Linked DNA regions of Xenopus tropicalis. The protein of the gene in region 1 binds, or shares a complex with, the protein of each later gene. Links are inferred from orthologs where the notes say so. Each region holds a gene or a part of one and is shown on either strand. Other genes may lie near its edges.

Region 1 (8,949 bases):
CCGGGGCTCAGTCGGACTATGGGCCGGGGCTCAGTCGGACTATGGGCCGGGGCTCAGTAGGACTATGGGCCGGGGCTCAGTAGGACTATGGGCAGGGGCTCAGTAGGGCTATGGGCAGGGGCTCAGTAGGGCTATGGGCCGGGGCTCAGTAGGACTATGGGCAGGGGCTCAGTAGGGCTATGGGCCGGGGCTCAGTAGGACTATGGGCAGGGGCTCAGTAGGGCTATGGGCAGGGGCTCAGTAGGGCTATGGGCCGGGGCTCAGTAGGACTATGGGCAGGGGCTCAGTAGGGCTATGGGCAGGGGCTCAGTAGGGCTATGGGCCGGGGCTCAGTAGGACTATGGGCAGGGGCTCAGTAGGACTATGTGCCGGGGGTTAATGGGACTATGTGCTCAGATCCCCGTATGAGAGGGCTGGTAGGGCACCATGAAGGTTCCGGCCGGAGATGTCCATGCTGAATAGCGAAGCTTCACACTCACTCAACAAACAGAAGCTTTTGTCTTATCCGCTGCTTAGAGCCCCATCCATTTCTGCCCTTCACTAGATCCACATGGGCTACAAACTGTCCAATATGGAGGGATTAGATGGAAAATCTGAAAGTGAAAATATTGATTTTCATCATCACAAATCCATTTAGGTTTCGAAGCTGCAAGAAAGGGGCAACGGCTCTCAGCACTCTCGGCTGCACTCTCGGCTGCACTCTCGGCTGCACTCTCGGCTCAAACACAAAGCACTTTTGGGATGGAATAAAGGTTTATGATGGGCTGGGTGTAGGGCAGCCATCTTGGTGTATTATGGAAATGTCCCTTGGGGGGCGGGGCTTACTGTCAGTAGGTACAGGCTACGTTTCTTGGCCGGGGTGCCGGGACTCCATGGAGGAAGGACTTTGTGAGCTGTTTGGGAAGTGAGTCCTTTAACGTGTGGCACAAACTGACTCGAGTAGCGTTTGAGTAGCAAATAAACATAGGAGTACGGCCTATTGGCTTGTAGTAAGGCACTGGGGTACGAGCAAAAGTACCATTATTCCTACTCCAAAGTCTGTCCAACCCCATCCTATGTGCAATTACTCCTACTCCGTATTCTATACAATCCCATCAAATGCATAACTATAACTCTTACTCCATTCTCTCCTCAGCCCCATACTCATTAGGATTACTCTTACTTCATAGTCTGCACAACCCCACCTTGTGTATAACTACTCTTACTCTATTCTCTACTCAGCCCCATAGTCTTATCCAACCCCATCCTATGTGCAATTACTCCTACTCCATATTCTGTGCAACTCCATGCATGCTCCATTCCCTACTCCACCCTGTCCTATAAGGATTACTCTTTCCCCAGCTCTGTGTAACTCCATCATATGCAGAGTCACTAATACTCTTATCAAACCCCATCTTATGCGGGATACCCTCTACTCTTCCCTACACAGGAGTATGCATACTACTAACTCTATCCAACCCCATGCAGTGCATTATTACTCTAACTCCATACTAATTACCCCATCCTATGCATGACTACTTATAATCCACACTCATGCAGAATTCTCTGTGCTCTCCTCAACCCATACGCTATTGCCCTACTCCATGCTGGTCCTGCTGTTTGTACCTACTCCTACTGCACACTCGCTAATTACTCCCTACTTCTGCACAGCTTAATGTATTACTATGCTGTTTTTGTATGAATCAATAGAGTGTCCCACCCAATCCTATTTATGACGAGTCTTACTCCAATCTTGGCCTGACCTCGCTGCCTGTTTGTTCCCACTGATTTGATTTACTTTTAATTAGAAATTCAAACCAACGAGAAATGAGCCTCATACATCAGAACGATCCGGGCTCTGCTGAGCGTCGGCGCCCCCCTCTCGCCGCTTGGTGTTTGTTCAGCAACAAGACAAGTCCCTGGACCCCTAAACTTGTTCCTAGCAACCAACAGCCCCGACTGGGGGCAATAGATCTCTAGGCAGTAGCCTGTAGAACCTGCATGTTGTTCTTCCGCAGTGGCCTTTAGTCAAGTCTATTCCTTTTTGGACGGCGGTGTTAATCTTTCCGCATTTGTTTTGTGACCTCAGACATGTTTGTCATTGTAAGGCCGATGGAAACACTCAAATATTTATCCCCCAGTTTTTAAACCCCACTGGTGTTTGTTGGCAGGAGAGGGGAAATGAGACAATACATGGAGGCATGAACATGTTCCTGCACTTGCCCATGCTTTCCGAGACATCCCTCTTGCCCCCATTGCGCCCATTCACACTGGGGAACCCTGGAGCTACTGCCACCCTGGACCTTGGGTTCCCGCATCAGGTTGGGTCAATGCACTAGGCTGGCACCCAATGAACTCTCTGATATGGTAGGGGCATTAATACACCCACTTCTGTTGGTCCTTCCATAGTTTCCCTTTGGGTGGTCCTTGCGGGGTGACACCCAAAGGTGTTTATACCTCGTACTAGACCAGGCCTCACAACATGGCATTTATGGGCACAACTCCATGGCATATGGAACGGAAGTTGTTGTTGGCTTTTGCAGCCACTGCCTGGCACTGAGCTCCTCTCCTGAGTTTACTTCTGAGTTATTTTCATATCTCTCCATAGTTTCCCTTTGGGTGGTCCTTCCGGGGTGACACCCAAAGGTGTTTATTCCTCGTACTAGACCAGGCCTCACAACATGGCATTTATGGGCACAACTCCATGGCATATGGAACGGAAGTTGTTGTTGGCTTTTGCAGCCACTGCCTGGCACTGAGCTCCTCTGCTTAGTTTACTTCTGAGTTATTTTCATATCTCCCCATAGTTTCCCTTTGGGTGGTCCTTGCGGGGTGACACCCAAAGGTGTTTATACCACGTACTAGACCAGGCCTCACAACATGGCATTTATGGGCACAACTCCATGGCATATGGAACGGAAGTTGTTGTTGGCTTTTGCAGCCACTGCCTGGCACTGAGCTCTTCTGCTGAGTATTTTTCTGTGTTATTTTCATATCTCTCCATAGTTTCCCTTTGGGTGGTCCTTCTGGGGTGACACCCAAAGGTGCTTATACCTTCCGTGTACTAGACCAGGCCTCACAACATGGCATTTATGGGCAAAACTCCATGGCATGTGGAACAGAAGTTGTTGTTGGCTTTTGCAGTCACTGCCTGGCACTGAGCTCTTTTGCTGAATTTACTTCAGCATATCTCTCCATAGTTTCCCCGTTTGGATGACATTTAGCGGCTTTGATTTTATTCCCAAAATATAAACCAGACATTCATCTCCATGGATTGTGACCTTACGTTCACTCGCCCTGACTATTCCCAAACCCCTCAACGGAATTTATTTCTCTATTTTCTCCAGAGATTGATGCTTTTGGCCCACATCCAGACTTGGGGTTTTGTTTTTATAATACTCTTGTATGTGTTTTTGTATTTGTATGATTTAAAGGCAAAGTATTCTATTATTTGAATTGTGTTTTGTTTTGTTTATTTTGCCTGTTTCTGGTCCTGACTACATGCACCTCTCCCCCAGGCCTACACTCTAATTCCAACAGCAGAGATAGGAACCCTGCTTACTGGGCTGCCCTGGGAAATATGTTGTACAAGCAAAGCTAATTCACCTTTAAAGCATCTTGCCATACTTTCTTTATTTTGGTCCTGTTTCCATCATTTCCCACTGCTTCTATCCTGACCTACTGTCTCCATCTTGCCCTACTGTCTCCATCTTGCCCTACTGTCTCCATCTTGCCCTACTGTCTCCCATCTTGCCCTACTGTCTTCATTTTGCCCTACTGTCTCCATCTTGCCCTACTGTCTCCATCTTGCCCTACTGTCTCCATCTTGCCCTACTGTCTCCATCTTGCCCTACTGCCTCCATCTTGTCCTACTGTCCCCATCTTGCCCTACTGTCTCCATCATGACCTACTGTCGCCCTCTTGCCCTATTGACCATTGCCCTATCTTACCATTCTTCCTATCCCACTGTCTCCATCATATCTTACAATCCCCATTGTATCTTGCTGTTGCCATTTTGCTGGGGGGAATATTTGGGCCCCCTATCTCTGTCTCTGCATTCCCGCTGGCTGGGGAGGGTCTCACCCATACCCGCGGGAGGCTGCAGAGATTTGATATGCTGGTGTTGTGCCCGCGGCACGCTGTACTGCCGATGACGACACGAGCCAATCAGACTTGCACGCAGGGCATAACACAGTAAATGGGAGAATTTTGATGCAGCTGCTTGGATTGAGAGAGAGCGAGAGAGCGAGAGAGCGGCTGAGATTCCAGCCCGTGGGTAGTCGCTGCCATTGGAGAGAATAAAGGAATCAGTGGGGGGGAGAGAGCTGAGAGGGAAGGGACCGTCGCACACCTCGCTGGCTGGCAGGGCTGCAGTGATGCCGGTGCCTAGATGGATTACATGTGGATTGACAGCCCGTACCTAAGGATCAGAACCGTATTGGAGGAGTCGGTTCCTGCTTGCGTGGTGGCACCGCTGGGAATCCGCTGTGGGGAGCTGGAAGCCCACAAGGCCGCGCCAATGGAGAACGTATTTCTGTGAGTAAGGACAGGTCTGTGGCACAATGTGTGTCGGACTGGGCACAAGGAATCACCCACAGCGATGCCCCCTCGTGCCAACATGACCCCCGGGGTGTTACCTCTAATGAGCAAATCCCACTGTTATTCCCCTTAATGCCCGGTGCTTGCAGTGCCCCCTCTTTCTGTGGCCGGGCTGCCTTTAGTGCCCTGCAGTTTGTGTGGCCCCCAAGCTGTATGCAAAGGGACCCTCAGGGATTGGCTGTAACTGTAGTATAGTGTGTATAGTAAGGCAAGATGGGGCTCGGCATAGGGGCTACAGTGCTGGACAGTGTGCAGAATAAGGTAAGGTGGTGCCAGGAGAAGGGGCTCTAACTATGGCATAATGTGTATAGTAAGGCAAGATGGCACTCGGCATAGGGGCTACAGTGCCAGGAGAAGGGGCTCTAACTATGGCATAATGTGTATAGTAGGCAAGATGGCACTCGGCATAGGGGCTACAGTGCCAGGAGAAGGGGCTCTAACTATGGCATAATGTGTATAGTAAGGCAAGATGGCACTCGGCATAGGGGCTACAGTGCCAGGAGAAGGGGCTCTAACTATGGCATAATGTGTATAGTAGGCAAGATGGCACTCGGCATAGGGGCTACAGTGCCAGGAGAAGGGGCTCTAACTATGGCATAATGTGTATAGTAAGGCAAGATGATGGTAGGTGTACAGGCTGTAACTGGGGGGGGATGCTATGAAATGTAGAAATATGTAATAGGCTGCAGGGGGGCCCCGTAACTTGGCACAACCCTGCCCTGTTCTGGTATAGAGTTTGCACCCTTTGTGCACTGGCACCTCATTCCCAGTGGAACCCATTGGGCACGTAACCCCTAAAGGACTTGTGTCACTGGGAAGCTCTTGGAATACAGAAATGACGTCACAATAGTGCGGCCAATAATGTCATTTAATGGGGCTCTTGGCATTTTAGCAGCTATATGGTCGATAGGGTCCAAATTATCTTAGCAACCAGGCAGTGGTTGGAATGAGAGACTGGGATACGAATAGAAGTGGGACTGAATAGAAAGAAAAGTTACAGAGCTGTAACAATAAAACTGTGGCCGCACAGAGCAATGGGTCATTGGTTCCCAAGAGCACAATGGAGGCAATTCATTGGCTGAGTGACAGTGGGATGTGCAATCTGGCGGGGGGGGGGTGGGGGTCATATAATTAGATTAGGGCTGATAAGAGGATTAGCGTTAGGGAGAGTGGGATAAATATATAAGGCGCTTTGGCTGAGCAATGAAGCCTTTGGGGTAATTACCTTCCTTATCCGCTGGCCCAATCCGGGGCAACTGGAAGTGACCTGGATATTTAGGTGCTCTAATACCATCCAAGGCTGTAGTTGTATAACCAGGCACCCATGGGTGCTATAATTGGGCTCCCAAAACCTCTATTCGAAGTCTGGGAGCCCATTGGCCCTGTGACTTGTATCTTTCTGGGTGCAATTAAGGACTCAGCAGCAGGGGAGGGGGGTGACTGGTCTGGGGCCCAATCACAGTGCAGGGACGGGGCCATAGCCATTGTCATAGGACTGCAAAAGGTACAGGGTTTGCTGGTGAGATGGGCAGGGGTCTGGGCAGGTAAGAGGGTAACAGGGCAGACTGGGGGTTTTGCTATGTATGTACCTAGCCTTGGTTACATGGATTCTAGGGCTCAGGGCCTGTGTGTGGGCGGGGGGGCTAATAACCCAGGCTCCATTGTGGGGAAAGCCCTGCTGATAGCATGTGGCCCAGTCATCTGTCGGACCTGCCAAATATCCTGCATTTTTGCCCCCCGTATATTTAATGGTGATATAAACCCAGCCATGATGCTGCCCCACGGCGCCCCCTAGTTTTGCTATAGAAGCTGCCAAAAACCATCATTACAGATGCAAGGAAATTCCCCAATGAGAATTGTACTGATAAATAAGTTGATTATAAATGCAAAAGAACTGCCCAGTGAGAATGCTGATTCCCAGCACTGTGTCAGGCCCCTTGCTGGTACCTTACATATAGAGATAATGATGGCATTTTCTCCCCTCATTATATGGCACAGGAATCAGACATGGGGATAAAGGGACAGACTTGTTCAGTGCTGGGAAACTGTGCTTATTGCTCCCAACTCCAATTGCAGGAACAGAGAACAGGGAGCCGGATTTACTCACATCAGCTGGGATTCTCATTGGAGGATTTTTCGCATGTTAAAGCAGTCGCTGGCTGTGGGGATTTGGGGGAAAGTTTTATTGTGCAATATTGCTTTAAGAATACAGCCCTGATGTTGCTGGACTACAGCTCCCAGCATGCCCCAAGCTTCATTATATGTTACATTATTGTGGGATTTGTAGCCCAGTAACAACTGAGTAACGTTGGGTTGAGCCGCGCTGGGCAGCAGGGTTTGTATCCCCTTTAACCTTGGGTGAGCCAATGAGAGTACATGGTCAGGGAATAATCAGGAGTGGCTGGGACATGGCCATTAGGGGGGCACAGGGGGAGTCCAACCAGTTGTTATATAACTGCCCCCCCAGGTGAGCCTTTGCCCCCCCGCCAGTCATATGAGTGCATTTATTAGGTTACCATGGCGGCACCTTGGCACTGTATGTGGGCACAGAGCTGGCATCGGGTGTTGGATTGCTGGCAGGATTCCTTATCACCCTGGCAAAATATTTGAGGATTAAGAGGAGTTTAATTGCTCATTGTTAGCGTTTGGAAGCAAATTCACGGCGGTAGGCGTGGCGCATTAACCCTCGTTATACCGGAGGGGCCCCGGGTGTGTTCCCTTTATCCCAGTGTGGGGCTCAGTCCCTGAAGCCCAAACCCCCCAGCGCTAAACATGACACATAGGGTTTCATCATAGGGAAGTGAGGGCATAATCCCCGGGCCCCCCAATATTTGTACCATCAAGAGGCACAGGGGGGCCCAAGAGAAATAAAATTGTTATTGGTTATTTGGAGTGGGTGAAATTTGGGTGCAATGTTGGCACAGTTTTAGCTTTATGGGTCGGGACTGGGATATGGGGTGTGTCTGTGTGTGTTCTCATTGGGGTCCCATTTCGCATGTTGGCAGGATCCTCCCCCTGGGGGTCTAGGTGACCAATGGTAGTGGGGTAACTATAGTGGGCAAGATTTCCACACTGAAACTTACCATGCACATACCATGGGGGGCTGAGCCTAGGGGTTCTGCCCCCCCCCGGGTAGATATGCTTCTACCCAGTGGGTAAATAATTGGGGCTCCCTAGGGTGGAGGGCCCTGCTAACTTAGTACAGGTATGGGATCCCTTATCCGGAAACCCCTTATCCAGAAAGTTCTGAATTACGGAAAAGCCATCTCCCATAGACTCCATTATAAGCAAATCATTCTAATTTTTAAAAATTATTTCCTTTTTCTCTGTAATAATAAAACAGTACCTGTACTTGATCCCAACTAAGATATAATTACCCCTTATTGGGGCAGAACAGCCCTATTGGGTTTATTTAATGGTTAAATGATTCCCTTTTCTCTGTAATAATAAAACAGTACCTGTACTTGATCCCAACTAAGATATAATTACCCCTTATTGGGGCAGAACAGCCCTATTGGGTTTATTTAATGGTTAAATGATTCCCTTTTCTCTGTAATAATAAAACAGTACCTGTACTTGATCCCAACTAAGATATAATTACCCCTTATTGGGGCAGAACAGCCCTATTGGGTTTATTTAATGGTTAAATGATTCCCTTTTACTCTGTAATAATAAAACAGTATCTGTACTTGATCCCAACTAAGATATAATTACCCCTTATTGGGGCAGAACAGCCCTATTGGGTTTATTTAATGGTTAAATGATTCCCTTTTCTCTGTAATAATAAAACAGTACCTGTACTTGATCCCAACTAAGATATAATTACCCCTTATTGGGGGCAGAACAGCCCTATTGGGTTTATTTAATGGTTAAATGATTCCCTTTTCTCTGTAATAATAAAACAGTATCTGTACTTGATCCCAACTAAGATATAATTACCCCTTATTGGGGCAGAACAGCCCTATTGGGTTTATTTAATGGTTAAATGATTCCCTTTTCTCTGTAATAATAAAACAGTACCTGTACTTGATCCCAACTAAGATATAATTACAGGATTTTTAGCAGACTTCAAGTTATGAAGATCCAAATTACGGAAAGATCCCTTATCCGGAAAACCCCATTCTGGATAATAGGTCCTATACCTGTAGTATGGGGCCCAGGGATTCCCCGTGGCACACACTGATAGATGCCAAGTATAATGCCCAGTCCTACTCCAGGGCATGGGAATTAGTTGGGTGTCCTCCCGCTGTTGCCATAACGACTGCTCAAGTCGGATGAGCTGCCGGACACCTTCCTCACTTGCTAATGCGATCCAATTAGAACTATCCGTTCCGTCGGCTAATGATCCGCTGGGATAAAGATAATCAAAGA
Region 2 (5,993 bases), about 82 Mb from region 1:
GTGCCTCCACCGGGAAGCCGACATTATGTTTATCCACAGGCCAAGAATTGGCCCTGTGTGGCATTAGCCTTAGATATAAACATAAAGTGGCGGTGGTGGTAAAACCAGTAAAATTCTGCATTTGGTTTATAATCTGCTTTGAAAAAAGTTTTTTTATAAATAAGCCCACACTTTCATAGAATATAACAAGAAAATTCTTTATGACAAAATTATTTTGGTACTGTCATTATGCTTTCTGTAAAACACTGGGAATCTTCAGATGTACTGAAGCACATAAAAGCAGGTTGTATTGTATATTTGCAAATTCACAGGCCTACACTTATTTCAAAGCAGTCTGAGCTAATTTAAAGTGCATTTAACTACCTTCTGAGTGCAGATCTATGTTGTATGGCTGTGTATTTTTGGAAGAAATAAATTCTAATTATATTTATTGAATTGCAGTTAATGCATTTACAGCTATTGGTACACACTGCTGGTAAATGTATGAGGGTTTATGAACTTGTGATGTAAATAATACCTCTTAAAACTCATGGTTCCCTGGAATTTTTCTCCCAGGTCTGGTTACCTGCTGTAAAAGCCAAAGGCTTGGAGATCTCTGGTACATTCTCCCACAGGCAAGCACACATCTACATGGATATGAGTTTCACCAACAAAGCTTTGCAGCACATGACTGACTTTGCAATACAGTTTAATAAGAACAGGTAAGACACTTAGAATTTTTTATTATCTGTTATGTATATAGGGCTACCATGTTTATGCAGTGCTTTACACGGATTGTTTGTCATTCATATCTGTCCCTGCCCCTGTGTATAAGCTTATAGCCTACGGTCCCTCATCACATTCACCCACAAAGATTAGCTTCTAGATCAGTCCACTGGGTTCTTCAGAATTGCAGTCATTTTTCATATTTTATTACTTTATCTTTCTGGGCTCTTTGTTTCCTTGTGTCCAATTCTATATGCCCCATGGCATATAAATAAAATATAATACAGATATAATGTTAATATTTAACAATATTGTTAGAAAAGGACAAACATATGAGAAATCCACCCAATGGTAACTGATCATTCTTACTAATGCTTCTTCCCATGAAATATTCACATTTAAATAACATTTAGCATAAATGAACTGTTCTGTAGATCTCTGATCTGTGAGCCAGTTTTGAAGTATTTATAAAACACTGATATTTAACACAAAATTGTACAGTTCTGAAGGGGCATTTCAGTACATGCAAACTAGGAACAAATATTGACTAATATAAAGGGTAAAGAAGACCCACAAAGATTGTGGGAAAGAGGACAGACAAACATTTGCATGTTCTGTTTAGTTGAGACTGGACCACTGCTTTTCTTGCCTACCTTAATAGGTGTTGTGATAGATTCATTTTCTTAATGTAATGTCAACTGAAGGTTGCTGTATGCGTGGACCCTGGACAGTTGGATTATGAAGCACACATTATGTCATCTAATTGGCTGATTTACATTCTCTGTGTAGTGCACTGCTTTTCACAGTCTAGCCACTTTTATCCCATGCTTTGGTACTTGTACTACATGGAAGCAGTTGGATTTTGGCTGTATAGCCACTGTAGGGCAGAGTGGTGAGAACCACTTGCTTTCCCTAGTGCTTTATTTACTGCAGGTTCTGAGCTGTTTTCTGTAGCATGCCGACTTCTCAGCACATTTTGGTACAGTAGTTGGCTTAAAGGAGAAGGATTTTACTGCCAATAGATTCACCATATTAGTGCCACCTAGAACACTATTTATTCTGCAGAAAGCATTACCATACCTGAGTAAAGAGCCTTATGGGATGAGGAATCAGGAGAGGGGCGAGAGAAGAGAACGGCGCTGACTCTAAAGTCAGATACCAGAAGAACATATTTACAAAAAAGGAGACAAGAAATACTGTGTTTCTTTTGATAGAGGACTATCTGTATTTACATAGACATTTCTGTTAAAGCTTAATTAGTTTTAACCTTTCCTTCTCCTCTAAGGAATGTTACCCTAATAATTATTTCATGGCATTTGGACTGTTCAGAAGTGTCTAATTTCTTTCTATTTTCCCTTAGCTTTGGTGTCATTCCCAGTGCCCCTCTGGCGATTCATACTCCCCTCATGCCCAACCAAAGTATTGACATTTCTCTTCCTCTAAACACCCTTGGGCCTGTTATGAAAATGGAGCCCCTTAACAATCTCCAGGTAATATATATCTCTTTTTTTACATTACAGTAGTGGTTGTGATCATGAAGTTAATTAGTAGGGGCTGAAGATCTTTATTACCATTCATAACATAAACAGTGTGTGCGTGCATGTATGCAAATGTTTGTGGATAGATGATATTTAACTTGGGATTTAAATAGCTTCTGTAGAATTAATAAAAGTTTTTCATGGAAACCCAGGACCAGGACGAATCATGATTTTTAAAACAATGGAGTTGCCACTTTAAATTGCCGCAACAAAAACCTTTAAGACCATGGATTTTATCACCTATGTAGTGGCATCCAACATTTTTGCATACCAGCCAACACTTTGCTCATAAGCTTGATTGTATTGAAGTTATGATGGGGGGACATGTCATAAAAATCATGTTTCGGTTGTCAGACAACCCTGACCTACATTACTGCCCAACAACAACCTTGGTAGAGCCAGATAGCAGTAGACACAACAATAAAGAACTGTAATATGTGTATAAAGCCGAGGCTGACATTAATTGAAGCAAATTTACTGAATATCCATTTAGAAATCTATGTATTCTCATAGATCCACTTGCTTACTCTATTGATTTTTACTGAGGCATCTACAGAAATCAAGTACCCATGACAGACCTGCAACTCTATTATTGCTTTTTATTTATATTATAGCTTTTACAGTTTGAGACAAAATTTGTATTCGTTGTTTTTTTGGGATTTGATTTTGCAGCCTAGATTGTATGCCTTTTTTTAAACCTACATTTTATGTATATCTTTCGAAATTCATAAGCTACTGGGGGGTCCTTTATAAACATTGGGCATATTTGCACCTAGGCATTAACCCATGACAACCAATCAGATGATTTTTTTCAGTGTTTAACCTGTAGCTGGCTATAAAAACATAATAACTGATAGGTTGCTATGGGTTACTGCTGAGGTGCAGATTTGCCTAGTGTCCATACATGTAGTGGTGCTCCTTCTGCTTATAGATGAAATGTATAACTCCAGTCAACTAATAAAGAGCACTTTATTGGTGCTGAGATCTTTATAAATAAGACCCACTGTCTGTCTAAGGTGAAATTAGAATAATCACACATCACTTATTCTGGCTAATTATGCTTTAAAAAGAAAGCAAAGATGCTACTGGTGTATAATCTAGGTCTGCAGCTACATACTGTTATTAGTAACTTAGACCTGAGGTGTTTAATTTACAGTTTATTAGATAAGGAGTGGGGGCACAACACTGTCTCCTTGACCTCTAACACTTCTGTAAAAGTATCCCCAAATAAAGAAGTATTATAGGGAAGATGTTTTTTTAAAGAAGATGACATTTATTTACATGGATATTGATTAATGCATGTTGAATGCATGTTACTTTTGGAGCACTGCTGTACTGTACATGGGTGTGGAATAAAACAGAACCATAGCACACTTTCATATAACTCAGTGGATAGGAGATGTGTCATTGAAGCTGCCACTTGATGTACTATAATTCAGTTAGATGTAGCTAGAAAATTGACTTGGCTAAGGCCATACTGAGGCAGTGTCCTGTCTCTTGGGTATTAGCTGGCTGTCAGGGTTTCTTTTATTTATGAGTACTCTGGGGAGCACATCAAAAGCTGCTTTCTAAGTATAGTTTGGATGGAGTTAGCAGTGTATTCAGAGTAAATGCTAAATCAAGCAAGCTTCAGGACATTTCTTATCTAAACACATATATGTACACGTGACCCCAGAAGGTTATGTAATGTTTATATTTATTAGCCAATAGTTGTATCATAGTGCAAACATATGATGCGTCAAAAAGAACCTACACACAATACATTTGGATTCTAGCACACACAAAAATACTCAACTGTAATTAAAAAGCCATCCACTTATTTATAAAACTGTAGACAGTTGTTGGTTTTGTGCATGTAGCTGAGAAGGTGAATTCTAAAAGACTGAAAGGCTGCTTTGAACGTGTTAATGGCTGTTGTGAAGCCTGTACATTAGGTTAGGGATTGCTGTGAACCTGCCATAATTCTTACGTTTCACACTACTCTTTTGTGTATTCTAGGTGGCTGTGAAAAATAACATCGACGTGTTCTACTTCAGTTGTCTTATCCCTCTACATGTGCTCTTTGTGGAGGATGGCAAAATGGGTAAGGAAAGATCTGATATGTAAGGTTTAAAGGGACTTCTTCTGTAGGGTGCACATCAGTTTGCAATATTGTAAATTTATCATCGTTTGTTTGGTATTGCATCAATTTCTATTATATTGTACAGCCTATTGTAATGGAGCGTGGTATATTCTGCTCAACTGTAATGATTGTGTTAGTGTCCTCACTAGCTGCTACCTTCTCTACCAAGGACTTGATTGGAGTTTAAAACTCAACAGAGGAGCTATAAAAAGGTATGGCAGCAGCGCTTAGAGATTATAGCCAAGATTTATTGGATTGTATCCTGTGCTGAAGGACATCTTAAAGTTCAACAGCTAGAAAAAGCTGTAAAATGTCCCTAGTAGTAATTTATCCTAATGGATTCCTAGTGTAACAATGCCAGTGGTTAAATCATGACTTATGACAACAGAACCTCTTGCATCTCTTGGACTGTATGTAAAAATCCTGTTATGTGCAAATGAAAAGCATGTTATTCATTATGTCTACCTTCTTTACTGACACTGGAATTTTTGCTCTGTTGGCTTGTGCCATCTATACCAATGGTATTCCTGTTTAGAAAATGAATTAAAAAGAGCTTATAAGGCACAGATCCCACATAAGTCCGAACTCTATTCCTTGAGGTTCCTCTCTCCATGTTAGCGACCCTCACTCCTAGTTTTCCAGAGTCCCTCAAAGGTCCTGGGAGTGGAGTTCTTTGTGTCTTGCACACAACACAGAGGATGCCTTTACCATTAAATGGCTTCTTCCTAAGCAATGGCACCTTGTATTTTCAAAATTGTAAAGCATAATTGGCATTCTTGCCCTCTAGCTTTATTGTCCATTTACAAAGTCCACAGGAGAAACATCTTTTATTTTTCTCTTACTAACTCTTCTATTGTCCTTTTGCACCATCCCAAATGCTTTTTACTTATAATAAACAGGTAAATGAATTGCTTTTAAAAACATCAACCAAAGAGAAATATGTTGCTAAAATAAAGGGAAACCCATTTTAAAAAACTGTTACTCCTGTAAAAATGCTCTCAAATTATAATCTGTCCATCAACTCTTTTTTTAATGTAGTGTTTATTATATCTCCCCCCCCCCCCCCCATTCCAATCTGGGGTTATAGATTCTATACCATAACATTTTATGTATAGATGGTTGGTCTGAGAGCAGTCAGTCTGTAGCCTGAATAGGCCACATTTGCCTTTCTTATAGTTTAGTGAATGTTTTCCCTTATTAACTAGTATGAGCATTTTCTTTATATAATAAATATGCATGTGTTGTCTCATAGAACGTCAAGTCTTCCTGGCCACATGGAAGGACATCCCCAATGAGAATGAGCTGCAGTTTCAGATCAAAGATTGCCATTTGAATGCAGGTAAGAAAGTCCAATAAAGCAGGTTTTGCGTTGGCTTACTTCTAAAATGTTTTTTTGGTTTTTTTTTTATGAATTTTGGATGTTTGCTCCCCTTTTATGGAGAGAGTGAGCAGCACTAAATAGTGGTAGGACTCTTGCCACGCTATCCTTTTTACATAAGCTCACTTACTAATGTAAGCTTTAGGGTTAACACAGTACACAAGCCAATATGATGACAGGTCAGACTAGCATATTTAGGGGTTAAATAAACTTGCATAATCGGGGTAACCTTGAGTTTCTGCTATGGACG

Evidence for each region.
Region 2: the proteins of arrb1 (region 1) and ap2b1 are in contact, whole or in part, in a crystal structure (PDB 2IV8), measured with the Homo sapiens proteins. The link is inferred for Xenopus tropicalis from reciprocal best matches to the Homo sapiens genes ARRB1 and AP2B1. Residues at the interface, in NP_004032.2 of Homo sapiens: Asp384, Asp385, Val387, Phe388, Glu389, Phe391, Ala392, Arg393, Arg395, Leu396; in NP_001273.1 of Homo sapiens: Arg834, Gln835, Phe837, Leu838, Trp841, Lys842, Asn846, Glu849, Ile876, Ala877, Arg879, Val881, Glu882, Gln884, Tyr888, Glu902, Arg904.

What each region holds. Positions count from the first base shown.
Region 1 is NC_030678.2:175,780,152-175,789,100, forward strand, and holds the start of arrb1 (beta-arrestin-1), read left to right. Parts: upstream 1-4,025; 5' UTR 4,026-4,369; coding exon 4,370-4,515; intron 4,516-8,949. UniProt on the Homo sapiens protein: Functions in regulating agonist-mediated G-protein coupled receptor (GPCR) signaling by mediating both receptor desensitization and resensitization processes.
Region 2 is NC_030678.2:93,557,756-93,563,748, forward strand, and holds part of ap2b1 (AP-2 complex subunit beta), read left to right. Parts: intron 1-555; coding exon 556-701; intron 702-2,065; coding exon 2,066-2,195; intron 2,196-4,241; coding exon 4,242-4,326; intron 4,327-5,617; coding exon 5,618-5,704; intron 5,705-5,993. UniProt on the Homo sapiens protein: Component of the adaptor protein complex 2 (AP-2). Adaptor protein complexes function in protein transport via transport vesicles in different membrane traffic pathways.